Mus musculus: one gene and its partner. The main gene of each other region encodes a partner of the protein of the gene in region 2 in a complex. Links are inferred from orthologs where the notes say so. Each region holds a gene or a part of one and is shown on either strand. Other genes may lie near its edges.

Region 1 (15,516 bases), on a different chromosome or scaffold from region 2:
ATTGGAAATGTAAATGAGCTAAATACCTAATAAAAAAAAAAAAAAAAGAAAAAAAAAAAAAAACAAAAAAAAAACTAACTGATCTTCTTAGTTACATAACATGCCAGGCATAAAGAATGCTTGCCTTAGAAAGCAATTATTAAAGCTGATTCAATTTAGATTCAATAGTGTATAGAATATCTAGTATACATATGGAGCTACATAGAAAAACCCCATCTTAAAAAACAAACAAAAAGAATATCTAGTAATAAAATTTTCTTTATTAGTTTAATTTATGCTGCATATAAATGCAGAGAGAATATCTTGTCTATTTTATGAATGCATCACCTGTTACTTAAAAAGCCTGTGGCTTAGGCAGGAAGGTCAGGACATCCAGGAGGCAGAGAGAATTCTGGGAAAGTGCCAGGTATAGGAGATTCACTCAGGAAGATGTGACAAGACAGATATGTGCTACCTAAGCACAGGTAACTAGCCATGTGGCAGAATGGAGATTAGAATAAATGGGTTATTTTAAATCATGACCTAGTCAAAGAAGAGCCTAGTTATATGGCCAAGATATTGGTAAATATATTTTGAGTCTGAGTTTTATTTCTGGGAGCATGAGGAAGAACCAGGACTAATTTTTACACATAAATGCTTCACATTCCTAAGAAATATGCCTTGCAGACTTTTAAACAGTAGTACTTCTGACTTTAACCTGACCTTTCTAATGTGTACCAAAGCAGAGCTAAGAAATTCAAATGCAATGAAGATCAATCAAGAAGGTAATGCACCCAGAAAATATGACTGAATTTAAAAAGCGGTAAGTGGTGCTGATACCCAACTAGATTGTAAGTGAATCAATCAGGGCAACAGCTGTCAGCCAGGTGCAGCACACTGCTGTCCCAAGAACATAAGCCCAGAGATGTTAAGACTTTAAAACTTTTTAATCTTAGCAATCTGTCAATATAAAATAAATATTCCTGTGTGCCTGTCTCAGCCAGTAAATAATATGTTTTGTAGAATGACCTGCTTCTCTGACTTAAGATACTATATTTACAAATTATTCATTTTACCTCAAACACATTTGTGTGTGTGTAAAAATTGTTAGCTGAAATACCCAACAGCAGGGAGACAGAACCTGAAGGAACCTCCAGTAGTTGGATGGGGCCACCTACCCATTAAAAATTTAACCCAGAATTGTCCCTGTCTAAAGGAAATGCAGGAACAAAAATGGAGCAGAGGCTGAAGAAAAGGCCATCCAGAGACGGCCCAATGTACAATCCATTCCATTTGCAGACACCAAATCCTGACACTACTGCTGATACCAAGATGTGCTTGCAGACAGGAGCCTGGTATGGCTGTCCTCTAAGCGGCTCTGCCAGCAACTAAGACTGATGCAGATACAGCCACCCAATGGACTGAGCCCAGGGACCCCAATGAAAGAGTATAGGGGAAGGGCTGAAGGAGCTGAAGGGGATGGCAACCACATAAGAAGAACAACAGTATCAACTACCCAGGCCCCTCAGAGCTCCCAGGGACTAAACTACCCACCAAAGAGGATACATGGACTGGTCCATGGCTCCTGCTACATATGTAGCAGAGGACTGCCTCATCAGGCATCAGTGGGCGGGGAGGCACTTGGCTTGATGCCCCAGAGAAGGGGATGAGGCTGGAATGGGAGCGCCCTCTTAGAGGCAAAGGGGAGGGAGGTGAAGTGGGGTAAGGTTGTGGAAGGGAGACTGGGAAGAGGGATAACATTTGAAATGTAAACAAATAAAATGATTAATAAAAAAAAATTGTTAGAGGCAAGTAATAATTTTGCAAACAACTTGAATAGAAAAAAACTTTACAGGAAACAATATTACAAATGTCATAAATACAACTGCTATTTGTGAGATTAGAACTTACCATCATTTTTATTGGCATTATATAAAACCTTTTTCCTCTTCTTTTTATTCTTCTTTGCACACCACAGTTTTCCTATTGATCAATCAAAAATAGTTATAAACACTATATCTATTACTAAAACAATGGTATTTCAAATTGATTAAAGATTTATTATACTGTTGACAACTATTTTTTCAATTTATCATTTTCTATTAATTATATTGTAGATAGATGTGTAATATTTTCATCTTTTCTTACATCTAAAGATAATGAATTTAGCCTCTTCTATTACTCCTTCAAGGCCTATACCTTTCTTTCTTGACAGTTCCAATGTGTAAATTCAACATGGTTCCAGATGAAAACCCAAAGACTCTTGCTTTTACTAATACCAAATGTAAGTGCAATAGCAAATATAAGTGTCTAACCTGATTTCTCTGGCTCCTTATCTTCTTCTATAGTTTGCTTCATGGCTTCCCTTTGCTGCTGAAAGCTTTTGCCTAATAACACAAAAAGAACAAACAGAAGGATAAACATTTTTAATCAAAGAGAAAACACTAGTAATTTCACACTGCCTTCCAAACCCTTTTGCCAACACAAGAATAATCCAGGCTAAGACACATAGCCTACAAATGCCCCCTTTAAAGAGAAGGTTTATTTTTAATTATGTGTATGTCTGTGTGGGCTGAGTGCAACATGGATACTGAGAATCAAACTTGGGTTCTTTCAGAAAGGAATATCAAGTCTCAATCAGTGAGTCATCTTTCTAGTCTAAGACTGAAAAGGTTTGTTTTGACCCTGCTTATCAATCTAATCATATGTATTATTTATCACTTATTACAAAAAGGTGAACAATAAACTAATATCAGAAAATTTAATAGTTCACCCTTAAAAACTTTTTCAATGAGCATTACTATATGGTACTTTGTAGTTCCACGCTGGGACATATAATGGTTCTCGTCACTGAGACTATCTCAACTCAAACACATCAATTCTAGACATTAACTTTCAAGAAGTACACAGGCATTCATCATGTTCTGATTTCAACACACCATTCAAAATACTTATTTGTATTTATTATTCATAAATGTATCATAATGATTTATTTCATTTCTACCTTTGTTACCAATGACACAAATAAACAGACAACACATTTTTCCTCAAAGTATTAAGATTTTTTTTGTTCTGGTTTGCTTTGTTCGTTTGTTCGCTGCCATGTGGGTACTGGGAATTGAACCTGGATCCTCTGGGAGAACAGCGAGTGCTCTTAACCACTGAGCCATCTCTCTAGTCCCTAATGCATTACGATTTTAACATAAAAGGTTTTTAACATGATCAACCTTCATCTTCTCAGTTCTCTATCTTAAAATAATCTAGGGGAGGAGATGCAACAGATTTTGATTCCAGGCCTCTGCAGTTAAGTGCATGTTCTACCACTGGGCTGGGCCCTCAGTCCTTTAAATGCTTTCAATCTTGTCTCTTACCTGGAACAAGTCCAGCTAGAGGCTGATTATCTTCGTCTCCCTCTCTATAGGCCTGCCACCAATTTGGATCTTCTTGACTGATCACATGAAGTATATCTCCTTTTTGAAAAGACAGCCCTAACTCTCGACATGGAACATAAGGGTCATCTGAGGGGTCATAGTCAAAATGAGCTTTCACATGGATCTGAAACATAAAGGGGGTACAAATAAGAGCAAGAATAATAAAATGGTAAAGCAAAATATCCAGCACAAATGTAACTTATGTGTTACATCAGTGCAGAGAAATGAGCTGAAAGGACATTTAGTTAAGCAACAGCATGTTAGGGTAGGATTTTTTAAAACTTATCTATTGACATCTCTGTAGACTATAAAGAAGTAGAAGTAGTTCAAACTGGGTGATTGTTAACAGCTAACAAATTGAGGTACAAAGTTGCCTCAAAGGCAAAGTAACCAGAATAGAAGCGGTCTGACCTGTGAAAACAATGATCCTAAGTGAGGTGTCACCAGGTCCCATGTAAGCAAGTGTCAGCTTCCCTGGGGCTGTCATAGCCAGTTGATTTCATGACCAGTGTAGTTGTGCCTTAATTGCTTAGTGTTTCTTTTAAAAATGCATGTAAATAGCATGTTCCACACTGAGAAATGATCTAAATCAGGATGATCACTGGGGAAAAATTCTTACCTTACTTGATCCAAAACTATGCAATATATTTATAGGAAAAATATGAAGGAATTGGGTGTTTCTAGAAATGAGGAAAATGTTTATGTTGGGTGTGGGGTCGACTACAAGGTGGACAGAGGCTAAAGGGGGCATAGGTGGGAATTTTAGATGCTAGTCTCATTCTGGTTCTTTGGGTGGTGTTTACAAATATGGTAAAGATATTGTTCTATTTGAAAGTAGGGTTCTATTTACCTAACTAAGATAACTATTTATCTACTTATGGAACCTTCTATTCTTGATGTGAAAATAGACTTTAGATTAAAATCTTGAATACTCAGTACCAAAATGAATTTTAAAAAGTAGTGTGGGATAGCAGGGAATCAAAACATAGTTGGAATGGTGCTTAAAAAGAACACACATACAAATTATCAACTCAGTATAAGAGAAACAGTATGAGCTAGAACTGCTTTAGAAACTGGGTGAAAATTACTTCCAAAATCTATTTAAATTGTTACCTTTTTGTATGTGTGTGTCCCCAAACCCTGGGAACCAAAAAAGTAAAAATTTAGGCCTTACTACAAGTAGTGGAAATTACTTTAACAGGCTTTGTAGGTCTACCTAACTGGGTGATTTGTCAGGCTGATTTTATTAACTCATTGTCTGAAAGCAATACCCAACAATGTTATGCAAAGTATATTGCTGGAGTGCCCGCTACAGATACTTCTTAAAAGGCTGAATTCTTATTCTTGTTTTTGAGACAGGGTTTCACTTTGTAGCCCTGGCTGTCCTGGAACATCCTATGTAGACCAGGCTGGCTCCAGATTTCAAAGATCTGCCTGCTTCCCTTCCCAAATGCTGGGATTAGAGGTATGTACCACCACCAAAAGACTGAAATAAAGAAAATATCCAATAAGAAAAAAAGAATGAAAATGTACAGAAAATAAAGGTTTAGAGGCTAGAGACTGAAAAAAAAGGCTGAACCCTTACCACCACCTCAGACTTGTGGCCTCTGCACTGACAGACAGTTAGTTGGGTGTTAGATAGAAAGGTCTTGTGATCTACTGTCCTCTATTACACCAAGGGAACTCAAAAAACAAGTGAGGGATGAACATAGCTCTATGATCTCTTCCAAAGGCAAGAAAATCGCTCAAAGATGCTTTTCAAGTTACTCTGGCCTACCCAGTTCATTTTCCAGCTCTCCTAATTTAAATGGCTGGCAACATGGAGGATTGTTTCATGTAGCAGAGGACATACTATGTTTATAGGGCAAGCACACATAGACACACCTGAAATGTATTACACACAGCTGAGCCTTTTATTTCGTAGTAACTTAAGGTAGAAGCCCAACGGCCTCCACAGGACAGGCTACTTCTTTTTAGTTTTTCCGCCCTACTAACCCAGGCTGCCCTCTAACTCAGTGACTGTCCATCTCAGCTTCTCAAGTGCTGGGATTAGTTATGAGCCACAGTCCTACACAGTTGTTTCACTCTTACGTTTATAAAAAAACCCAAACAAGTGTCAGGCATGGATATGCACACCTTTAATGGCAACACTTGTGAGACTGAGGTCTACAGAGCGGGTTCCAGGATGGTCAATACTACCCTGTCCCCAAAATCCAAAGCTAACCAACAGCTGTGATGAATGGATGATTTCAGGACTCTGATTTTGCATTTGCTGAAAACAAGTGACAACATACCACATTAACTGAGAAGCAGCAGTATCAATATAGCATGCTAGTTTTATCTATTAAAGTAACTTTAACAGGCCACCAAGATACCTCAGTGGGTACAGGGCTTGCTGCCAAACCTGACGACCCAATTTTGATTTCTGAGACCCACAAGGTGGAAGGAGAGAACTGACTCCCTGATGACCATGTAGATGCTGTACTGCATATGCACACCTTAAAAAAATAAATGTGTAACTGTAAAAGAAATAACTTTTATTATAACTGCATGAACAGCAGAAAAGAAAAGCTGATAAAATATACCTCAACCTCTGACACTCATTCTCAAAAGACAAAAATCATTTACTGAGGAAGGATGGGTTATCAGGAGCATTTAGAAGACAGCATGTTCTAACCCTCTTCAGTGTGCAGAGCCTCTTTTCACACTTGAGCCTTATTTACAGGACAGACACATGGAAAGGCATAGCAAGTACAGAGAAATGACTAAATTCAGAGGCCAAGTCTGTTTCCTCATGTTTCTTCCTACAAAGAATTCTAAACATAAAAAAGGTTGCACACGCAACACCGACCGCAGTATGTTCTGGAAAAAAACAAAACAAAACAGAAAACAGAAAGAGCTAAATAAAACAACACACCTGTGGTGACTATGAGCAAAGCAGAATGCTATACATGTATGAAAATGTATGATACATGTATGAAAATGTTATGATAAAACCATGATTTGATATGATAACTAAACAAAAATAATGATAAAAAATAACAAATATATAAAGATCAGGCTTCTATGTCAATTTAGGAACTTAAAACCTCATTTTTAATTGCTTATGATGTAGTTAATATGCTACACCATTTATGGTTTTAGTATATGCAGAGACAGAGGCTTACCATTGATATTGTTAGAATATTTTCAACCTTCTGGACCAAATACTGATAAGGAGCTATTTCCATTCTTTCCCAAATCTCCATCTAAGGAGCCACTGAAATTTTTCTGTTTCTATGGGCTTACCTATTTTGGATACTGTATGTAAATAAACCAGTAAAGGGCTTGTGATTGCCATAAATTTTTCAAGCTTATCTATTTTGTAGCATATACTCACACCTCAGCCCTTTTCAATCAAGTAAGATTTCAGTGTACAGACAGATAAACTATGTTGTATTTTCAAGTTATTGCTGGTGGCTGTTGCTATTTTTAAGTTGTTTTTATATTTTGGGTCTTATAAATAATACATGCCTGAATATTCATGTACGATTGTTCTATTACCAGGAATTGCTAGGTTGTACAGTAATCAAATCTATCATTTAATAGAGCTGTGTTAAATACTTAGTAGATAGAAATACACCAGAGTAATGACTTACACACATTTGTTAAAGTACCCTTCTCTATGTGACTGAGCAAAACTTAATTATACCTGAAGACAAACAACACTGTTAGTCTGAAGTTGAACTATGTTGTATATTTTACTTTTAAAAAGTTCAGAGTTTACTACATTTTAAAAGTTGATTTTTATACTTATTTAAATACAATTACGTGATTTCTGTTTTTACTTGAACAAACTATATTCAGTGAAGTTTCTGATACAGAAAATTAGACATAAGTCAAAGAAGAATAAACAATTTTAAAATAAGTAATTTTAAAATTACTTACTACAGTTTCTTTGGCAGGAGGGGGCTTGATCTGTTGACTAGGAATCAGAACAAATGTCAAAGTACCATGCATATCAGACTGTAACAGAAAGGTTAAAATACTTTAAAAATCTCCCATGATCTTATGATTAACACACTTTAAACAGGATGATGGCAGAATTCCCTCAGTCCTATACGAAAACATTTCCCATCCCTAGCTACTTTCATTATTTAGTCTTCCTGTCCACTGTTTACTGTATTGAGTTGTGCAGCTAGATTCATAATTCCTGCCCAGTACAGCACTAGCTGTATTCAGACATATCCAGACTAGACAGCATTCTTCATAATGTTTATACAAAATACAAACAGTGCACAGTGCAAGCCAGTACCAATCAAATGGACCATGAGTGACCATCAATGGCACTTTGCTCTACAGAGCTATGTATGAGCAGAGATTTGGTGGAAAGAGGGACATGGATATTTTCTAGCTTTTACAATAGATATCAGCAGGTAGGAGACATACTACTGTATCACCTCATGTTGAATGATTAAGAATATGCACATGGGTTTGTAGAGGGGAGTACTGGCTGGTGCCATGGGAGGAGAATCACCAAAAAGGTCAGTCTGGGCTATATAATGTGTTTTATTTCAGACCTTGCCTTCAAAAAGGAAAAAGAAAAATCATATGTTGTGTTGTATACAATATGATTAAACATCATTTTCAAGACAATGAGGCTAAGCATGGTGGCACATGCTTTTAATTCCAGCACTTAGGAGACATGGACAGGTATATCTCTGAATTTCAGACCAGCCTAGTCTACATAGTGAGTTCCTGGCTAGCTAGGACTTCATAATGAGACCTCAAAACAAACAATCAAAAAACAACAAAAGACTGTTCATCAGTTAAGAGCACTTGTGGCCCTTGCAGAGGATCTCGGTTTGATTCCCAGCACCCATATTTTGGCTCACAACCATATGTAGCTCCAGCTTTAAGGAATCCAATGTCTTTTCCCGACTTTCTCAGATACCAGTCATGTATGTGGAACATATTCATGCAGGTAAAACACTCATAAGGCATAAAGTAAGTAAATCTTAGAAAATTATTTTTAAGAAGGTAATTAAAAGTGAGTACCAAAGTATACCAGCACTGTCCAGGATAATTTACTCAACAGAGATGTGTAGTGGCTATCTCAGACAACAGCCATTAACTACATAATCAATCTTGTTCAACTATAGCTAGTGTGAATAAGAAACTGAGTTTTAATTTAATTCACCAGGAATGTACAAGGTGTACAGAAATACATAGAAACAAATCTTTAAAAAAATAGTAAAAGTAAAAATAAAAGTTATAATAAAACTCAAAGTAAATAAAAATAAACCTAAAACTAAATATATAATAACAAAAATTGACAAATTCTGTAAAAGTTAGGCTAAAAACTACCTTATACTCATTAGTTATTTTAAAAAATGTTCTCTAATGATCTAAGTTTAATAACAAAACAAGCTTTTAAATGAATCAAATCTTCTACAGTCTGAACGTACCAACAAGTCAAAAACCTCATTGACATCCTTGCCCCGGATTTCAATGCCGTTGATCTCCAGAACTTCGTCTCCTTCGTGCAGGAGGCCACTCTTCTCTGCGGCGCCTCCTTTCACTATCCGGCTTATGATGACAGAATCCATTTCATTACGAACTGTGGCACCCTAAAAACACCCAATATCTAATTTAAACATAAAAATGCAATTTTTTGTTAAGCATTTCATTTTTAAATTTTATTCTTTTAAATCTAGTAAGACTAGTCCTTAGTTTAGCTTATCTTAAGAAAAAAAGATTTCCTCACATTGCTAAAGTAACAACTGTAATTGTAACACGAAAGCTAAGTATTCCCCACCCAACATTTCTGTCTCAGAGATACTGTATTCATTAGAATTCTGAAGTACAGACTTCTGAAGCATATAAAAGCAGAAAAAAAATACACTGTGTTTAAAGACATAAAATCAACTTTTTTTCTGCTGCATTCTATTCCAACACCTAGAAAACATCTAGGCATAATTAACACAGTGCTTAACTATAAAGAATTTCTTAAAATTCAAAATATAATTAAGGGATAAATAGCTATATGGCTAACTATACAAATGTTAAACACAGCTATAGCCAAATGTATTAAATACTAATATTTATTATACAAATTGAAAGAACAGTGGGAAAGTGTATACTCAAAAGCTAGAACAGTAAAATAAGATAAAACCTATTTTGTGGGGCTCAGTGGTTACAGCAGTTCCTACAAGGGACACAGATTTTTGTTCCTAGCACCCACACTGGACAGCTTACAAACCCCTGTAACTCAAGCCAGGGGATCCAACTCCCTTTCATCCTCTGCAGGCACCTGCATGCATGTGGCACATATAAATACACTCAGACACATACTCATAATGAATAAACAAATCTTTTTTATAAAACTAATTTTCTTAAGTATTTACTTTAATATTATCATGACCTTTCCTTTTATTCTCCAAGATGGAACCAGTTACATAAAGTACTTAATGCACTCTTTTTAAAAATTATTTTTATTACTCTATTACTCTGTGTGTGTGTGTGTGTGACCGCGTATGTGTGTGCTGGAAGTCTTCAATCTCTTTCCATCTCATATTTGGAGCAAAGTCACTTAACCTGGAACTGACTGATCTGGCTAGGCTGGTGGCTAGCCTGCAAACTCCAGAGAAGTCTTCCTGTCAGTGACAGAGCTGGGATTACAGAAATGTCATCATTCCTGGCTTTTCACATAGGTGCTGGGGTACAACCTCTTGATCCTCATGTTTGGGTGCCAAGAACGTTTCAATTAAACTATGTATCTAGCTCCCAAAGACCAGATTTTCTAACTTGTTTTCTCTTCTTGATTCTCAGTAAGTATTTCATAAGTTATTATTTTAAGTTATGAGAAAAGGTAATGAAATTAGTTTTTCAACCTAATAAGGGTTTTGAGCAAGAGCATATTACAATTGTAACAAATTGCTGTAACAATTGTAACAACTCACAAAGAGAAAACTCTCCAGGAACATAATGGGATCTTCAACTGTACACCATATGAGGTCTTTGCATAGAAAACAATCTTAGATCAGACATGAGAACACTTACCAATGGAATATCCCGAGCCTTTTCTATACGAACTATTTTTACAGTTTCTCCCCCGTAATGGCCGATACTTTCATAAACTCTCTCATCTGTAATGGGCTCTAGCTGCATTTCCTGCTCAGCAACCTTATCATGGGCCAGTAAAAGTGCCTGTTTCAAAGAAACCCACCGTATGAAAAGTAAGACCACAATTTATTTCTGTATAGTTTGCTCATGCACATAGTATTACAATCAAGTCTGTAAGGGCCTAAAACATGACAAATATGTAAGGGACTTTTGCCCAGTTTTTAAAAATAAGCTATTTTAAAACATACTTTGTATAGTTTTACATATGGAATGTATAACCCAGCAATAATTACTCTGCTTTCTGCATGACTAGGTCTCTTCCAAGACTAAGAGACTATGATTTAAAAAAAACAAATACTGGAAACAAACAACATTCTGTCCTTTTTCTACCTGAATATGTGGAGCATTCAACAAGGCAGTTAGTTCTTGTCCTTCCTTCTGATGGACTGGCTTTAAGACAGTTTGTACCTAAAGAAATAAAAAAAAATTTTTTTTCCTGGTTCATAAGAATTAGCAGTAGTATCTATACAGGAGAATATTTTTAAATGAGAATAAAATGGCAAAAAACCCTCAAGAGTAAAGAAAAACACTAAAGAAACATGAAGAAAAAAAATCCTTTCCCAGAGATCTTTAAAAAGAACATTCCTTTTTTTTTTTTAAAGCATACTTCAAATATCATGGTATTTACAACTACAAATGAACTGTTTCACTTTTGAAATTTCCTTCTAACACAGTATAAAATCTACTATAATAATTACATGACAGGATATATGCCCCACTCAGTAGTTATTATGCTACTTTAGAGATTTAAATCCTATGTTTCAAATACTATTAAAAATCTGAGATGAAAATTTAAAGTTATAGATTTACAAGATAAATGTAATGTTGGACAATGTGTTCTCAGGATAAACTCCCACAGTTATGATACATTTTTCAGGCCCCTGTGTCTTTCTTTCCTCATGGGCAGGCTGGTGTCCACTGTGTAAAGCCCTTCAAAGGCTGACCAGATGACTTCAATCTGAGTCTGCACTTGTGATCTTTCCTAACACTGCTGGATGGCTTAACTAATGTACTATAGGTATTGTCTACTTTAAAAGATTAATGTCATATTATCTACTCTTTCCATTAAGAAATTTAAGTACTCTTTCCTGTTTCCTTGCTTTTAACTACATGAACAAAAAATTAAGTCCACTTATTTGCAATTTTCAATCTTCTACCAATGAATACTGAGGTAGACATGTTCCTCTGCACACAATCTTCTACCAATGAATATTGAGGTAGATATGTTCCTCTGCACACTACTTTCTCCCAAAGATTATACTGTGTACTCTTACTGTTTATGCCTCTTTTTGCCCTTGTGCCTCCAAACCCCCACTCCAAAATGGTACACTGCAATAAAGTAAATAACAAAACAAAAATTGTCAAATTAATGAAAATATAAGTGTACCAATGATTAAAACAGGAATTCTATATTCTTTATGGTTATTTTATTAGCAGTTCTCCAATTAAACCTTTAGGATGATAAAATGAGGACCAATTTTGACCAAAACAAGCATACCAAATCAATGATAAAGTCTGAAGAGATGGGTCCATAGTTCAGAGCTCTTGCTGTTCTTATAAAAAGATTGAAGTTTGATTCCCAGAGCCCATAGCAGACAGATTACAACCTCCTGTAACTCCAAATCTAGTGGAGCTGATGCCTTCTGGTTCCTGTAAGTGCATGCATGCACATGTGCATGTGCACACACACACGCGCGCACACACACACACGCACGTACACACAAACATACACAAACATAAAATAAAATAAAAAAAACCCAACCTACTAGGACAGTGCTTGGTGCCTTTAATCCCCTCATTCCATAGGCAAGAGCATCTCTGTGAGTTCCAGATAAGACAGGGCTAACCATTAAAACACTGTCTAATAAACAAAACATAGTACTGAAACTACTCTGTCCTCCAGTTTTGGTACCTAAAAACTTTAGGTAAGTGAAAGCTGATTTTAAAGACACTGCTTTCCTTTTGAAACTTCATGAAAACTACTCAAAGTTAATTTGAAATCTATAATCCCTGACCAAATACTTTTTGACTGCTGGAGAAAGCAACTCGGAGAGGGACAGTTTTGAATTATTAAAAAAAAAAAAAAAGAAATCAAGACTTTATAAAAGCTACAATTGGGAGGGGGGATAAAATATGGAGTGTAAAAAAAATAAAAAAGGCTACAATCAACTCAGTAATATTTTATGTAAGACACTTTTTTTCTGTTTATATTTTTAAGTCAGTTCCTAGGCATCTCTAAAATCTTAAAAAAAAAAAGCAGAACTCTGATAAATACTCATTTCTGTAGCAGCAGGCATAGACATTATCTATGCTAGTGTCCGAGAACTTCACTTACAAAGCCAAGGGAATTTAAAGACTGTTCTTATATGTGACCTGCCTCCTCCCACTGCCCAATGAAAACAGACTTGACCACCCATTTCATTAAAAACAGAGAAATGGCCAATGACCACACAAAAATAGTGTCAGCAATCATGATGGAAAGGCAAATTAAAACAAGACACCACCACACCACATATCTGAGAGTCAGTAGCCAAAAAGCTGACAAGATGGTTCAGTAGGTAAAGGCACTTGCCAACAGCCTGAAAACAACCCCTGTTCATTTCCCAGAATCCACATGGTTGAAGAAGGGAACTGACTCTTCAAAGTTTTCTTCTGACCTACATCCTCACACCACAGCATGCACATACTCACATGCACACACTCACACTATGCAATAAACAAGTGTAAGAACAATTAAAAATGGATCAGTAATAGCAAACAGCCAATGTCTCACGATAGAAATGACACGACACATTGTCACACAGTCTACTACTCAGAAAGCATCACTGGGACTGGGACCTGGAGGACTGGTCACATGCCCATCATTTGTGAAGTGTTGCTTTAATTTGATACATTCACAGAAGAAATGAACCTTAAGATTAGACTGAGCAGAGGAAATCAGATGCTGCCATGGTTTGAATGTGAAGTGTCCCCATAGGCTTATGTTGGAACATCTGATCCTCCAGGTGGTGCTGTTAGTTTTGTGAGGCCTAACTGGAGGAAGTGGGCTGCTGATGGCTTATGTGTGTGCATATGCCATGGGTTATAACTTCCAGCATCTCTATGTTTCCTAATTGCCAAGGCAATGTAGCCTGCTGCCCTACATTCCTTCTGCCACAGTGAGCTGTCCCAATGCCATGCCTTCACAGCCAGAATAAGCTATGTCTTCCCCCAATCTGTGAGCCCAAACAAATCATCCCCATTCAAGTTGCTTCTTATCAGGTATTTTGCCACACTGACAAGAAAAATAATTAATGCAGACACAAAAGAGCAGATGTTGCCTATTTATTTGACATGTTCATAAATGGCAAATTAGTAAAACAGAAACCAGGTTTGCAAATGACAAAAGGGGCTAAAGAAGAGGTGGTTACTCTCTTCAGGACTGTAAGTGAGCTTTGTGGATGGAGGATATTTTAGTAACTTGACAGTGGATGGTAGATTTCATAGGTGCATACACAGATATTTACATTGAGCCAATAACAAAACACCCATTTTTAGTAATTGCAAACTATATCTCAATAAAGCTGGACACACTCTACGTATATAACTTTTTCTCAGTATCACCCGAAATTAGTTACAGGAACTCTTGTTTCATACCCAAAGCTAAGGTCACTTAAGTCTCTTCTACAAAAGGGCAGAGTATGTGCATATAATTAACATACCTTTCCATCCATATACTTTAAAATTTTTCCTACTTATACCTAACGTGTAATAGTTGTACTGTATTTTTTAGGGAATAACAAGGGGAAAAAGTCTGTTCAGTAGAGATTTAGATTCTTTTAGCAAACTAGGCTGAATCTGAGGCTATAAAGTGCAATGATAACGAAGGACAATTATACATCATTTTGTTTGTTTTTGTATCAGGCCAGGGACTGAATCCAGAGCCTTAAAATGCTAGGCAAGAAGTCAGGGGGGCTGGAGAGATGGCTCAGCGGTTAAGAGCACACTGTCTGCTCTTCTAAAGGTCTTGAGTTCAATTCTCAGCAACCACATGGTAGCTCATGACCATCTGTAATGAGGTCTGATGCCCTCTTCTGGTATGTCTGAAGGGAGCAATGGTGATGTACTCATATGCATAAAGTAAATAAATTTTTAAAAAAAGAAGTCAGATACCAAACTCCATCCTTATCCCTGGGGGAATATCTCTTACACCTTTTACCAAAATGAAATCATATTGTTCAAATTGGTTTATGAAAGTATTATATAACTTTTGATTTGTGATTTTCAACTGTAAAACAGAAATATGACCACTGTAATCCTCATCATCTGTCTCTCAGTCATCTATAGGATCAAGTCTAAGCTCCTTAGCATTAAATATCACCTGATTCTTTCTTCTTTCCCAGCCCTGGCATTATTTATGCCCACAGGGTTCACCACTAAACCACTGCTCTGCACATATGACATATGTCCCCCTCAATCACTGTGCTCATGCTACTACAGCCCCCCCCCACACACACACACAGACACACACACACACATCAAATTTTAGAAAGTATTGCCGGGCGTGGTGGCACATGTCTTTAATCCCAGCAGAGGCAGGTGGATTTCTGAGTTTGAAGCCAGCCTGGTCTACAAAGTGAGTTCCAGGACAGTCAGGGATACACAGAGAAACCCTGTCTCGAGAAAAAAAAAAAAAGTATCAAATTCTATTTCTTGACATGTTGGTTTATATTTTACTTCAATGTTTTTAGATAAGCAAAAGCTTATTTAATGAAATTCAAGTTATAAACCTTTTCTTTAAAAAATATTTTAATAACCACAAAAATTGCTTGTTTATGTCTTCGATCATCAAAGATTTAATCTGAATCTTAATATTTTGAAGCTTTTTAAGGCCTTAATACTCATCTTTTGTAGTAAATGTTTGAGAATTTGTTCACATTATTTTGGCAGTACTAGGAATGCA
Region 2 (16,305 bases):
TGAAAAAAGCCCACTCTATCAGGGAGGCTTTTTCCTCGGGATGTTTCCAGGGCAGAGTTGAGTGGTAGGATATTTGCATGCTGCATTAATTCTAGTTTCCAATATCAGTTTGAGGGAAGCCAGGCTTATTCCCCTCCCCCCCCCCCCAGTGGGTTTGCATTCACTCCCACTATGCAGGAAATAGTTTATTTTATTAATAATATGCTATTATATTATTTTATGTAGTAGGAAGTGGAACACAGTGTGTGTGTGTGTGTGTGTGTGTGTGTGTGTGTGTGTGTGTGTGTATGTGTGTGTGTGTGTGATGATTTTCTTTCTGTGAAGTCTCCTAGCATTGCTTGCTTTGAATACCACTGATCTGCATTCATGTTTCTAGCTGAGTTGAATTCTATTTGTCCTCCATTTTGCTCACTTGGGCAGCTATTCTCTTTTTATTGAAGTTTTAAATACTTTCCATTAATATACACCCATTATCATAGTTACTAAGTTATAAAAACTGTTTAGAGTTATTTAAAAATCCAAACTTAAAGAAAATGCTGAATTTCATGCTTTATTTTTTTAATTTCTTTTTTATTAGGTATTTATTTCATTTATATTTCCAATGCTACCCCAAAAGTCCCCCACACACTCCCCCACCCACTCCCCCACCCACCCACTCCCACTTCTTGGCCCTGGCGTTTCCCTGTACTGAGGCACATAAAGTTTGCATGACCAATGGGCCTCTCTTTCCACTGATGGCCGACTAGGCCATCTTCTGATACATATGCAGTTAGAGTCAAGAGCTCTGGGGAGTACTGGGTAGTTCATATTGTTGTTCCACCTATAGGGTTGCAGATCCCCCCCAGCTCCTTGGGTACTTTCTCTAGCTCCTCCATTGGGGGCCCTGTGATCCATCCAATAGCTGACTGTGAGCATCCACTTCTGTGTTTGCTAGGCCCCGGCATACTCTCACAAGAGACAGCTCTGTCTGGGTCCTTTCAGCAAAATCTTGCTAGTGTATGCAATGGTGTCAGCGTTTGGAAGCTGATTATGGGATGGATCCCTGGATATGGCAGTCTCTAGATGGTCCATCCTTTCGTCTCAGCTCCAAACTTTGTCTCTGTAACTCCTTCCATGGGTGTTTTGTTCCCAATTCTAAGAAGGGGCAAAGTGTCCACACTTTGGTCTTCGTTCTTCTTGAGTTTCATGTGTTTAGCAAATTGTATCTTATATCTTGGGTATTCTAAGTTTCTAGGCTAATATCCACTTATCAGTGAGTACATATTGTGTGAGTTCCTTTGTGATTGGGTTACCTCACTCAGGATGATGCCCTCCAGGTCCATCCATTTGCCTAGGAATTTCATAAATTCATTCTTTTTAATAGCTGAGTAGTACTCCATTGTGTAGATGTACCACATTTTCTGTATCCATTCCTCTGTTGAGGGGCATCTGGGTTCTTTCCAGCTTCTGGCTATTATAAATAAGGCTGCTATGAACATAGTGGAACATGTGACTTTCTTACTGGTTGGAACATCTTTTGGATATATGCCCAGGAGAGGTATTGCGGGATCCTCCGGTAGTACTATGTCCAATTTTCTGAGGAACCACCAGACTGTTGTGCCTGGAGAGATAGTTAAGTGAAGTGGTTATGGACATAGATTCTATATACAAACTATCTGATTTTCATTATAGAACAATCATAAACTCTGAAATTAGATACAAGTGGTTTAGCATCTCTAAATAATATGAGAATCCAAATGAGCTGTTATCTACAGTGCTTAGAGCAATTCTAAATATACAACAAACACTGTAGAAAAATTTTCATCTTTTTAGTAGTAAGGGTGATAATGGTATTTCTTCTTTGATTTTTTTCATAGTAGACGTATATGTACTTGTTTAAGGAACATGATCAGTGGGCTGGTGAGATTATGCAGCAGATAAAAGCTCTTGTCGGCAAACCTGATGACCTGAGATTTAGTTTCAGAACACACATGGGCAGAAGGAGCAAATCGACTTCCACAAGTTTCCTATAGACACATACACACACACACACACACACACACACACACACACACACACACACACACACTCATTGTCATGTGTTCCAGTCTCTACTGCATACATAAATATAATAAAATATTTTTAATAAAAATGTTCAGAGGTGTTCAGCTCACCCAATGTCTGTACAACTAGGTCAATATTAAGTTGGAAATATGATGAGTTAGAATGCATTTTAGACTTTTTCCCGTAGAACATGAGAACTTCGTCACTCAGAACCTTAGCACATTGGGGTCTGGTTGTGATGACTATGAGCTTTGACTCCCTACCACTGTACAGTATCCTGAGAGGGTGTCACACCAAATTCTGCTCTCCCTAGTAAACAGCAAAACTAAAAATACATGATTTCTAAGAGATGCACATCCCTTTCACACAATCCTAAACTTGGCAGTCATAAATTAAACTATAAGACTATCTGCACTTCCAGAGGTCCTGAGTTCAATTCCCAGCAACCACATGGTGACTCACAACCATATATCTGTAATGGGATCTGATGCCCTCTTCTTGTGTGTCTGAAGAAAGCAGCAGTGTACTCACATACATAAAATAAATCTTTTTTTTTTAAAGACCATTCTTAGTGTTTGGGCCCTGAGCCACAATTGTTCCATCCTTTGTAAACATGGTCGGCTAAATAATTTGTGTTGTATAGGGCCTTAGATGGAATTTTTTATTTTCTTAAAGAAACTTGTCATATATAATTAAAGAACTCTGTTTTAAATGTGACTCTGGCCCAAGAAAATACTTATCAAGCGTTAATGTACTCAATCATTGAGAATGAGCATTAGTAATAATAAGAAAGAGTCCACAGTTTAATGCATCTTCATTACTTGAATATAATGCTTACTTTGGAGAACCGAAGATACATCGTGGCCTGTCAATCATCTACATTATCCAGATGTTCAGCTGTAGTCACCAAGGAACTGCAGGCTTAGTGTTATACATCTGCCTACATTTTTACCAAAGCAGTATGAGCTAGGGATTGAAATATTGTACTAGAATAGTTCTTGCATACTTGTCAATCATCTTTGCTCGTTCACTTTAGGGTTTTTTTTTTTTTTGTTCTCCCCTAGGTAGCTAGGAAACTTTATCTGTACCTCTGCCTTACCTTTTTGTGTTCTGATATGTGTGATCCACTCCACGTCCCAGGTAGCCTCTCTTGGGGAAGCAGAATTAGCATCAAAATACAAACAGCACCAGGGCAATCCAAAACAGTTGTTTATTTTTGAGATTGTATATTTTCTCCCACAAAATCCTTCCACGTTACCCACCTAATTCTTCAAATTCATAGCTTCTATTTTCACGAGTTGTTATTGCATGCATATATTTATTTGTATATATATTTCTAAATACAACCCATTGAGTCCATATAATGTCACTTGTATGTATGTTTTTAGGGTTGAACATCTGGCACTGAACAATCAATTGGTGAACTCTTCCCATCTCTCCCCACTTCCAGATTTACTCAGTTGCCTGTAGTTCTTTGTGTAGAGTGGAGACCTCATCGTTTTTCAATGTTCAGTTTGGTGTGTTTGATGATATCATCCTTGTTCAGCTCACATTGGGCAGACATGTTGGTGAGACTTTGCAGGGGTAGCTTTGATGGTACTAGGAAATATAAACTCAGTAAACTCCCTGGCCTTTGGCTCTCACAATTGTCTGCTCACTTCTGCAATATTCTCTCTGCCTTAGGTGTGGGCATGTTCTGTAGATGTATTGATTAGGACTTGGCTTTTCAATTCTGCATTTTGGTTGGTTTTGTTTTTCTGTAGTGGTCTCTATCCCTTGCCAAGGGATGTTTCCTTGATGAGGAGTGAAGACAGATATGTGTCTGTGGGTATAAGGTATAGTGCTGTTGGGGATTGTGTTGGTTTAGTGAATTAGTGGTTGTGGATTCTCCTCCAATAACCTTGATTTCACTAGCATTGAATACAACAAACCCTCTGGGAAACACGGAAAGCATTTTCATAAGAGGAATTTATAGTTCTAAATGATCACATTGAAAAAAAAAATCAGAAGGTACTCAAACAAATGGTTTAATGATAGAAGTCAAAGAGTTAGAAAAACAAGAAGAAACCAAACTTAAACTAAGTGTATGTCAAGACATAATAAAAATTGGAGCAGAAGTCAACAAATTAGAAACAAAGAAAACAAAAAAAATTAAAACATCTAAAAACTGGTTCTTTGAGAAGATAAAAAAGACAGACCTTTGGCTCAGCTGAGAGAGAGAGAGAGAGAGAGAGAGAGAGAGAGAGAGAGAGAGAGAGAGAGAACCTAAATTATCAGAATTAGAAATGACCAAGATAACATTATCACAGACACCAAAGAAATCAAGAGTATAACAGAATATTTGAAACCCTGAATTCCATCAAGCTGGAATATCTAAATGATCGATTTTCTAGAGGCAGCTAAAACACCATAATTAAACCAAGAAGTCAACACCCTAAACAGACCCATAACAAATGAGATTAAACTAATCTATATTAAACTAATATAGTAATGAAAGGCCTATAAAAAGCCTTCCAGAAAAAAAGTGTAAGACCAGAAGGAGTCATAGCAGTATTCTACCAGGCATTCAAAGGTCTACAGACAGTTCTTAAACTCGCCAAGAAGAAGAAGAGGAAGAGGAAAAGGAGGAGGAGGAGGAGGAGGAGGAGGAGGAGAAAGAGGTGGAGCATTCCCATACTCCTTCTATGAAGCTGCTATCACTCTTATATCCAAAACAAACAAAAACAAAAGAGGGCTGCACCCTACAGGCCTGTTCACAGATGCTACACCTCTTCATGATACTACACTGGCGATTAGGTTTCAACTAGGAATTTTAAGGGAAACATAAACATTCAGATCATGGTATATTCATATTCATATTTTGTAAAGAATTTCCTGGCTGGCCTCAAGACTGACAAGTTTTTCACTCATTTGTTTTATGGCTTAGTCCTTTAATTCTTATTTTTAAATACAACACGTATAAATTCCTAGAAGTATTCTTTATATATCACATTTCCAGATTAGTTTTAATACTTCTTGTCTTGAAAATGATACCTTCTAATTTTTGTAATTGTGACAGAACTGAAAAAACAACAGAGACTTTTGTTACCGTTAGATTCTGTCTGTGCTTCACACCACACATCTTCTTTCTAGATCAGTTGATTACTTTTCTGGTGATCCAGTCGTTAAAATTTAGTGCTCTCTGGTGTATTGGTTGGCTTTCTCTGTGTCCAGTTCCTTAGATTTCAGGTCTATGGACTAGGATAACAATGCAAGTCTGACATATAGACTTCACACAACGAGATTCTTAGAAAAGACCTAGAGACACAAAATGATGACAGTTCATTTAATAATAATTATTATTATTATAAAAATATTGTTATAGACATAGAAACCTAAAGCATAGAATGGTAACAGTTAATTTAATATTAATTATTATAATTATAATAATAAAGATAAATAATGTTGTAGACAGTAGAGAAACTTTAGGAAAATGGCTATTAGAAAATCAGAATGTAATTCTGCTTACCCTGCATCTTTTATTCCAACTGGAAAAATGTAGATATTAGAGCAAGAAATATATAATACTTCTGCAAAGCCAGGCACGGTGGTGCATCTCTGCAAACACCATTACTCAAGATGCTTCTGCAAAGGATCAGAAGTTCAAGCTTAGTCTGGACAACATAGGGAGACTCTCACCTCAAACCAACCACAGACAGCAAAAATACCTGTGTCACTTGAAATCATTTTGAATCAAGCTTTATAAATTAAATTATTTGTGACAAGTAGAAATGATCTCTTTAAAATATTGACTACCACGAGTGCTGTAGAAATCAGTATACATACACATATTATATATATTATATAATCTAATATGTATGTATGTATGTATGTATGTATGTATGTATATATTAGATGATCTTACTCTGTTGCCTAACCTAGTCTTGAATTCGTGGACTCTTGTGATCTGTCCTACTTCAGTCTCTGGTATTTTAAACTACAGATGTATGTCCTGACACAAAACTACAATTTTAAATGGATCAATTCTGCTCTAGCAAATAAAATAATCTGAGAGAGATCAGAGAATACCCTTGGTAAAAATTATTAAGCTTGGCATCAGGGGAACAGGAAGACATCCAGAGGTCTGTCAATCGCCATGCCATGCAGCTCAGGCAGGGAAAGAGTGCCCTCCACAGCCCTGTCTGCAGCCACTCCCTGTGGTGCAGGGGTGGGAAGACTTCCATAGGTCTGCCTGCTGCCACACCACATGGGCAGGCTGTAGACACCTAGAGGCCTGCTGCTTGTCACCACACCACATGGTGCTGACAGAGGAGGTCCTTGGGGCACCGGTGAGCCATTCCTGAGTGCAAAACCACAGGAGTACTAGCCCTCCCAGTTCATCTGCTGCGGGGTTGATAGAGCTGGCCCTGGGGTCATGAGAGTGGGTATGGTGGCCCTGCCCCTCGCTGGCTCAAACACTCAGGAGAGCAGACCCTCACCTGAGCAGCACAGTAAACCTAGCCCTGGGGGAGGGGGCGCCAGTGAGGCAGTGCTCGTAGCCTAGCTACACTCACTGGCACTCAGGAGAGCAGGCACTGCACCGCGCCTGTGCTACACAGTGGCGTTGGCCCCATCCAATCCTGTGTGAGCTACCCCTGAGGGTGTGAGGAAAAGAGCTGGCCCAGAAAGATCACGTTGCAGAATGGGCCCTATGACTCAAGTGGACATCATAGTGGAGCTAGCTCTGGAGGTGTGGGCAAGCATGAGAGCAAGAGAGGCTGACACTGCCTCCTGCTGATGGAGGCATTGAGTGGCCAGAGTAGTGCTGCAGAGCTCACCTTGGCGGTGCTGATCAGGGAAAGCCAGAGGCTGGCCGCCTCAGCTACCACCCTGGCCCAAATCCAGGGCTTTGTGCTGACCCACTCTGAAATCTACATCATCTGTAAATGGTTGAGGAGTGTGCGGGGGCGGGGGGGGGGTGCTGTCTTGCAGATCCAAAGCTGCAGGATCTCCATGACACAGGGCAGCAAGAGGATAACTGGAAGGAGTCCAAGTGAGGATCCAGTATTGATGGTTTGACAGAAGCCTGAGACCTCGAACAATGCCAATGACTCATTGCAATGAGCATTTGCAAGTGAAGACATGTGGACAGAGAGATACACTGTAGGACACACTATGACCCACTACAGCTTCCATGATAAGGTATTTTCTATCCTTTGTTTTGCTCTCTCTCTCTCTCTCTCTCTCTCCCTCTCTCTCTCTCTCTCTCTCTCTCTCTCTGTGTGTGTGTGTGTGTGTGTGTGTGTGTTTATTTTGGGGTTAAGACTACAGTTGTGGAGGGCAGATATAAGGAGATGGGGAGTTTGAGCAGTATAATGCATTTTTTAATGCCCATTTTAGTTTCTGAATAATAGACATAGACCTGGTATTTTTACTAACAAGCTGCAAACCTAAGCTGGGCAGGCTCTGAGCTATTCTAACCCTTTAAGCCATTTACCTCCCTGTCACAGGCCCCATGTTACTTGCAGTTTGAGTCTCTTCCTGGCTTGCTCTGTTCATATGAACCCTCACAGCTGCTCTCTCACGTCGATCTCATGACAAATCCTTTGGCGACCTGCTCATCATGGCTCCTCCTCGACCTTTTCTCGTGGCCACTTTTTCTCCTTTCTCATTGCCCTTCTCCTCTCTCTACCTGGGACACACACACACACACACACACACACACACACACATCAGAAGTCCCACCCTATTCTCTTCTGCCCAGTAAATTGGCTGGCCAGCTCTTTATTGACCAATCAGAAGATGATGGAGACGGGTGATGCTTCATAAAAATAATACCGAAGTCCAAGTCTGTCCTGTCCTCAACTCTCTCCCTGGTATAAAAACCAGCATTTGAATAATACAACCTTTACACAGTACACAGAAAGATCATCCCTACATTGCAGGACTAAGGTTTATGATGTGAAAAGAATCATAAAAACGTTTTAAAAAAATGAGCAATGCAATTAAAAAAAAAAACGCAGAACTGAAATGTCTCACCTTCTGCTAGTTCAGGTTCCATGCAAAAATTGTTTTGTACTACATGTTAATTGGGTTTTTATAACCCAACCAATGAGCATAATTCTCAGACCCTGTGGAATATGAAATTCTGAATGCATATTTGCCATTTTGTAATATATATTATATATACATATACATTATATATACACACATATATTATATGTACACATATACATTATATATGTATATATATATATATATATATATATATATATACAGAGAGAGAGAGAGAGGGAGAGAGAGATTATGGTCTTTCATATGTAAGCAGAAAATATAAAACCTTCAAAAATAGATGCTGCAGCATCATTAAACATCTAACTGAACTCTGAAGATTTACACAGAATCAGTTGTTTTAAGCGACAGAGCCAACACTTGTTATATAAAAAGCATAGACATGTACTAGCATAAATACCAATCAAAAAATTCAGCATTCCATTTTTAGTTAAGGGATTTCTTTTGCCCTATTAATTTGCATAAGTTAATGATGTTAAAAGGTTAATAAATCCAAGAGGATGTAACTTCATGAGCAAAGTGTAAACACTTGAAAGAAATATTACCCCCATGTCTCTATAATTCTAGCCACTGTTATATGATAGCTTATTTTTTCTTATAATTTTTCTACCCTATCAACAGCAAAAGCACTACTGAACTGTCATTGTAGGGTTTAGAAACAGAAAAAGTTACTAACCTGTAAACAGAGTTTTGAAAGAGAATGTAATTTACAAAAATATAGAGTGTTTCTTTAAAAGTAGCCACATCAGAATAATCACGTGCCAATACTGTCAGAAGAAATTAATTTCTCTATTAGGAGCAATCAAGGACCCTATCCTAAAACAAAGCCTTTCCAGGAGGCATTGTTCACGGAAGCCTGAGGGGGACACGAATCCAATCCAGGCTGGAAAAATCTGCTCCAGGATTGACTGGTTACCGTCTTCCTGTGCCTGTAAGGTGCTGTGAAAGAGAAGTGCTTTCTGATTCTCTGTCTGTGGAGGAGCCCTGGGAGGGGTGGGACAGAGATGGCATCCTGGCTCTCTGAGGCACCTGCTCTTCTCTGAACCACACAGGAGTCAAGAGCCAAACAGGGATAGCTTCAGCAGCACTTCAGAGGGTGTTCTCTAAGTAAGAACATGAAGCTCAAGAGAACTGCCTACCTTCTCTTCCTGTACCTCAGCTCCTCACTGCTCATCTGCATAAAGAGTAAGCCCTCCCCAGTTAGCAATGCCCTGCCTCTCTTCCTGGCTTAGTAGATAGATCTCTTGCATACAGTTCCAAGGAAGGATGTGTTTGTTTCTTATAGGTGTTAGTAAGTGCTCTTGTGGTTAAGATAGCGCTTCTGGTCCAGGTTTTAGGAATTACAGTAAATAGGTTCTCAGGCTGTTTTATCTGTTGACTGAAAAGCATAAAACTGAATGAAATAGCCAGGAGGAAACAGATTTTTTTCTTCATTCTTTTTTCTTTTTTGTATTTGCACACTTGTGAAATAGTTTGTGGCACTTTATAGTTGATCTTTGTTAAAGAGATGTTACTAATAAGTTATCTTGGCTCTTATTCTCATATGCTATGAATTTGTTTCCATATGTTAATAATTCTTGCATTGCAACACTTGTTCTTGTAATCAGAGGGGCGGTCTCAAGGCTTCCTAAAGGAGAATGGTTAAAACTGTACTTTTTCCCAGCACTAGAGAAATAACCATATAGTTGTGTGCTTCTGTCTGATAAACAAAGGCATCATTTTTACAAACTTCCCCAAATATAAACAGGAGTGACGACGCCTCCCACCCCCACCCCTGATAATCTTGTTATGTTTGTGGCAGTCTCAAGAATCAGGGAGAATGGCCCCAGCTGTGTGTTTATGAAGGACCATAGCTATTGTACTCATTTAAAAAGAAGACAAGGAGAGTGTGTGCCTGTCAGAGGGGCCATGTGATTTACGGCTGTTGCATCTGAATATCAATACGGACAAAATAAGGAGCAGCTGTCTTTGTGTGAGACCACTAGCACCAATACAGTGGTGGGTAATCTGGGTAGTGTTCTGTCACTGCAACAGTGCTATGAGGTTCTAACTGGTACGGTTTACAGCTGGACAAACAGCCGAGATTAGGTGAAGATACAAACAGGTCCTCTTGCTAGGCAGCTGGGACAGCCAGAAAAGCCCAATCAAACTTCAAATAAATACTAAAACGCTCATCATAAAGCACATGGAGGGAAAAAATTTTCAGAGATGTATTGGATAAAGAGTTATAATTTTAAAGTTGCTTATCCTCTTTCAAACTTATAATGGGTGGGTTCCAAGTAACATGCAGTGGGTGAGAGGTACCTTACCTTGAGATACACAGTGGGAGGATACACACAGAAGGGGGACATAAAGTGAAAAATGATGCCATTTTCTTTGTGGCAAAGAACTTTGTCACTTTGTGAAATACTCATTAAATTGTCTACAGTGTTCTTTAGAGCTCATATATGTAACTTCTCAAACATGTAACTGTGTAAAAGAGAACATGCATAGGAGCATACACTCGCTTTGTTTCATTTACTTTACCAGTAGACTCTAAACACATATTTGTAACTACTTCATTTATTCTTCAGCAAACCTTGTTTGTTTGTTTGTTTGTTTGTTTAAAGTAGTAAATTTGAAACTTCATTTTATTGAGCTTTTAAGCAGACAGGGAGCCTTTTATCTGTGTTATATTTGTTGCCAGGGAGTAACAGTGTTGCCTTTGTAGTCAGAACATTTAGTTTACACTATTTGGGGCAGTAGAGTTTCAGTCAGTGACTTGGGTCTGCTTGGATCCAAACACACTATATAGGTCAGGCTAGCCTCTTACTTGTGACCTCTAGCCTCAGCTTCCTCAGTGCTGCAATTACAGGTACGCCCCACCATGCACCCAGTAAATTACATTTAACATTAATTACCTTTTTGTGTGATACCAGAGATCAAATCTAAGCGTCCCATAAGTGCTAAGCAGGTGCTCTTCTACTAAATTCCTTCCTCGTCTCTTTCAAGTTTTTAATTTTGAACAGGGTTTTACTAAGTTCCAAAATGGCCTTAAACTCACTTTGTAGTGAAGTTGGGCCTTGAACATCTTTCTGCTGAAGGTCTGTCTCTAGAGTCTGTATTCTCAACCGATATGTACTATTCCCATGTGGTAACAGTATACAATCAGCTCAGAACACCACAAGCACATAGGAAAACTTGGTGATTAGTATCTTACTACTTGAAATCTAGTATCATATTAGTTTTTATTCACATTTTGAAATTTATTCTTTGAAATGTAAGAAAAAAGGAGCTATTACTGGCTCCAGATAAATCACTTCTGTAGAGTTGTACCTTGACTCCTTGTCAGACAGATGCTGTTCATTCTTAGCACCCTACTCTCTTCCCGTCTTAGAGTTAAGATTACACAACATGAGGAATATTAAAGCAGACCTCCACGTGGGACACCCACTTCCTGCTCCTCAGTTGGTAGGTAGGCAGCCATTTCCCTGAGCTGGGACTTCAAGAACCTGTTCACTTAATTGTTCTTATATCTGTACCAGAATCTTGCCAAGTTTATTCAGACATATAGGATCAGGTGTACTTTAATAATTCGAGTAGGGCCTTCTCATTTTGCTTCTGACATATTAAGCGAGAATCTTATTGGTGTGAGACTCTCCTGTGGCCCATTATTTTGTAGCTATATTAAATAATAGGAGCCCATTCTAATAACTGTTGCGACCTTGATACTAGCTTGCTATTTGGGGCTTTTAAGAAGCTACCATATTAAAGCAGCCTTCAATTACATAGCAATTTGTGTCTCCTTTTCATTATTCTGTTATAACTTCAGAGAAAAATGGAATCTTCTCTATGCAGCAGTCATGTCTAGATTAATGTGACTTATTTTAATTTATATTCAGAGCATGACCAGTGCATATGACAGGAATGTAATTTGAGAAAACCATTATTAGGATTATGGGCACAACATAAAAGAAGCCCAAGGAGCATACTGTGGAAGCTAGCAATCATTAAGTAACTGAATTTGAATAAAGTCCTCATAAAGAGTGTTTCCTAAAGGATAAATAGGGTCTACGAAGATAGGACATGGTCTGATTTATTCAACCTTAGCGCTATTATTAAGAAATAATTGAATTTTCTCAAAAGATCGGAGAGGCCTGATGTAATTTACTATGGAATAGCCACTTATGCTTTAAAATTCTACACTTGCAGGAAGATTTAGAATTTTGATAAGTTGGATGCTCATAAAGCAGTGTGTGTCACGGTGCTTACAATAATGCCTGTGGGAGAGGAGCTGTTGCTTCTTCATACCTAAGTAATTTTCTCCTCAATTTATAGTAAGTTTTACTTTGTACAAGCCACCCATTACTTCCCACAACAATGCAGAATTCATTTTAATTTCTCTTTTCGTACACTCATCATAAGCAGACCAGATTTTTCTTGCTTTCTTCATCGTTAGTGATTTTCAATGATGGCCATTTATGATCATATAGTTCCAAAGTTGGCTGTTGAGTGGGCAAGGCCAGCAAGGATGTTTCACTCTCTTTTCAGTTTTCTTGCTGATTCTTAGGAAGTTTCCAAGACAGTCAGTTTTGTTCTTTCAGCAAAAAGATGTCCCTTTTTTTACACCACTGCTCCATCACGCTAGATTTAGCTTTACTGTTGCTGCTTACATTGCTCTTAACTGTTTTGTTCTATGTCACATACTAAACTGCAAACTCAGTGCATTTTTTTGATGTATTTATGCTTTCCTATGAGGCTGTTGGTTGGCGGTAGGAGTCATGAGTGTTTTGTTCATGGTTATTGGACATGGAGCTAAGGTTGCTTGTTCTTTGCGTCCAGATGGGTTAGTTGCTAGATTACGAAACTTCATTAATCACTTCTTAGTCTACTGATTTACATGTTAAATAGTTAAGGTCAAGTAGTTGAGACCAAACATCTCTTTTGAAATGTATTGAATAAAAGACCCTCTATCTCTAAAGTTGTGAAATTTATATTTTCTTCACTAGGATAGACAACAAAAACTAGCTAGTAGCAGTACCCAATTAAATATTAATATTGATCCCAGCCATGGCAGCAGTGTGTTTCTTGATACTTGCCCCAATGTTCTGGGTTCCCGAATATTCTCTCTCTCTCTCTCTCTCTCTCTCTCTCTCTATATATATATATATACACACACACACACACACATATATACATATATATATATATATATAGTATATATATATACACATATATATATATATATAGTTGTGCTTTAAACAGCTCAATGGCTAGGCCATTTTCTAATCTCTATGTGGCTAATCCACCTCTCTTCAACATTCTCTAATTATTACATACTAAAATCTATATTCCATCTTTGCTGCCCTGGACCCAATTGGGCAGCCCTCTTGGTGCCACTCTTCTCTGGCTCCTACATGGTGGCTATGCTCTCTGTCCTGCACCTTCTTAGGTGTGAAATTTTCCTTTCCTTCTGGTATGATGGATCTCCTTCTTCCTTCCTCCCTAGCCTGGAAATCCCCAAATTCCCACCTCTGTCTGTCCTGCTCAGCCATTGACTGCTGGCAAGTTTATTTACCAATCAGGAACAACTAGGGGCAACGCTCAATGTCTTACATACGGACATGCAGATTCTTAAGCAAACAATTTTAGGGACCCAAATTAACATAATACAAGCAGCATTAGACCAAACCCACTACACTAACTAAATAAGGAAAATATGTACTTATGAGCTAGTGGTACATCTCAGTGGAGAAAAACAAAGAACGAGATAAAGAAGAGAACTATGGGATTTATAATGAATAACATTTTTTTCCTGTAGAATATATCTAATGCAGAAGTCCTGAGGCAGGAGCATGCCTATAGACTTTGAGAGATTGCTGCATGTTCTGTTCAATTTGAGTGGACTGATGGAAAGAGAGGATACTAGTGTAGGTACCAGTGGTGTTACTTATAGTATCTTCAAGTTTAAAAAGCCCTACATAGTAGCCATTATTAAACTCACTAGTAAACTTTACTAGTATACTAGTAAAGCAAGATAGATTAAAGGATATACTCAAAACACAGCTATAAGGTGACTCAAACGAGATTTTCAATCTTTGATCTATCTAGATCTAAGAAACATGCAAGCTCTCAAAAGCCAAAACATAAATGATCAGGACTTGTGCAGGCTGATATGTGCAGCCTGACACTGTTAGCAAGAAATCAGCTAGTATGGAGATAACTACAAATATCATCTTCGCAGGATTTGGGAGAGTTTGTTTAAAGAAAAACTGGGTCCCAGATAATCAGGTATCTATTTCATCTTTCTGCTACTCTGAGTTTAAAAAAACATTCACAAATGTAACTGACGCCTCAGCCCTGTGAGTGAAATCTGCAAAACTGGAGCTGCTGGTGTGTGGCCTCCGCTGACCTTGTTATCATCGTCTTTTTGGTTCTTCACATTGTCGTAGTAATTTCCAGATGAGTGACTCTTTTCTCTGGATTCAAAATCATCGAAATTTTTACATAACTTCATTCAGACAAATTGGAAAGAGCAGGATGCTAATGAGGCCGAGTTTATGATTGATTCTATCAGTACAGTTCACATTGCTTTGAACAGAGACCAGCTCCAGACAAGCAAATGTGTATAAACAAATTAAGCACTGCCACTTGTAAAAGCAGCTGGGGATAGTACCAGTAACCTTTTCATGCAGATAATTTGTTAATTTGATTTTACATATGGCTATACTTTCAGCTAACTCTTTCCTGTTATGATAGTTGATTTTAATTCTGTACTTTCTCCTAAAGTAATCATGAGATAATTAAAGAATTAATCTTATAAACCTAATAATTGTAGACATAAAATATTTTCTAGCCTTACTTGTTGAGGTTTGGACTGTTGCTTTATATTGTAATGCTAAATACTGGCTCTCCAAAATCTGGTTGCCCCCAGGAAGAAGATTCTCATATAAACCAAGTGATGCTATATAACCTTGCTCCTTCATGTTTAATGGTTGGTTGAGTAAAGATACCTACAGCCTATAGCTGGACAGAAAAGAGGTAGGCAGAGCTTCAGTTCCCCAGGCTGGGTGTCTGAGGCAGAGACCATGAGGAAGAAAGAGAGGCGAGTGTAAGGAGAAAGGAGAAGACACTATGGGGCAAGGGATTGTGAGAACAGGCCATGAAGGCTGGCCAGTTGGAGGAAGAGTAGCCCAGGCAGAACATGGAAAATCATATCTTGGGGTTATTAATAGGGAGATGACTCTGAAAGCATCATTGCTAAGGCCATTACAGCCGTCCTTGTGAGGCCATTACCACCATCCTTGTGAAGCCATTACAGCCATCCTGGTGATGGGTGCCAGTGAAGGCCTGGAAGTCTGAAACACCCACCAGGAAGAAGCAAGCACTCCGCATGCTCCCAGCTGGCACTGCTAATGGCAAGGATCTCTTTTTTTCTTAAATATGAATAGTTTTCACACAGCCATTATTCATGCCGTCAGAATTTGCGAGTGTCAATTTAAATGCCATATAAGCTTTCTAAACGGTGGTAGATTGAACTATTTAAAACTTTGGTTCCACTCCTCCATTGTTGGTGGGAGTGCAGGCTTGTACAACCACTCTGGAAATCAGTCTGGCGGTTCCTCAGAAAACTGGACATAGTACTACCGGAGGATCCAGCAATACCTCTCCTGGGCATATATCCAGAAGATGCCCCAACTGGTAAGAAGGACACATGCTCCACTATGTTCATAGCAGCCTTATTTATAATAGCCAGAAGCTGGAAAGAACCTAGATGCCCCTCAACAGAGGAATGGATACAGAAAATGTGGTACATCTACACAATGGAGTACTACTCAGCTATTAAAAAGAATGAATTTATGAAATTCCTAGCCAAATGGATGGACCTGGAGGGCATCATCCTGAGTGAGGTAACACATTCACAAAGAAACTCACACAATATGTACTCACTGATAAGTGGATATTAGCCCCAAACCTAGGATACCCAAGATATAAGATATAATTTGCTAAACACATGAAACTCAAGAAGAATGAAGACTGAAGTGTGGACACTATGCCCCTCCTTAGATTTGGGAACAAAACACCCATGGAAGGAGTTACAGAGACAAAGTTTGGAGCTGAGATGAAAGGATGGACCATGTAGAGACTGCCATATCCAGGGATCCACCCCATAATCAGCATCCAAACGCTGACACCATTGCATACACTAGCAAGATTTTATTGAAAGGACCC

The links.
Region 1: the proteins of Crb1 (region 2) and Mpp5 are in contact, whole or in part, in a crystal structure (PDB 4UU5), measured with the Homo sapiens proteins. The link is inferred for Mus musculus from reciprocal best matches to the Homo sapiens genes CRB1 and PALS1. Residues at the interface, in NP_957705.1 of Homo sapiens: Ala1401, Met1402, Glu1403, Arg1404, Leu1405, Ile1406; in NP_071919.2 of Homo sapiens: Lys261, Pro266, Leu267, Gly268, Ala269, Thr270, Val271, Arg272, Asn273, Ser281, Arg282, Val284, Val314, Asn315, Val317, Phe318, Leu321.

The regions. Positions count from the first base shown.
Region 1 is NC_000078.6:78,812,707-78,828,222, reverse strand, and holds part of Mpp5 (MAGUK p55 subfamily member 5), read right to left. Parts: intron 10,983-15,516; coding exon 10,905-10,982; intron 10,599-10,904; coding exon 10,452-10,598; intron 9,037-10,451; exon of another isoform or gene 9,020-9,036; coding exon 8,858-9,019; intron 7,416-8,857; coding exon 7,338-7,415; intron 3,535-7,337; coding exon 3,351-3,534; intron 2,367-3,350; coding exon 2,295-2,366; intron 1,963-2,294; coding exon 1,891-1,962; intron 1-1,890. UniProt on the Homo sapiens protein: Plays a role in tight junction biogenesis and in the establishment of cell polarity in epithelial cells.
Region 2 is NC_000067.6:139,369,815-139,386,119, reverse strand, and holds the start of Crb1 (protein crumbs homolog 1 precursor), read left to right. Parts: upstream 1-9,043; 5' UTR 9,044-9,209; coding exon 9,210-9,279; intron 9,280-16,305. UniProt on the Homo sapiens protein: Plays a role in photoreceptor morphogenesis in the retina. May maintain cell polarization and adhesion.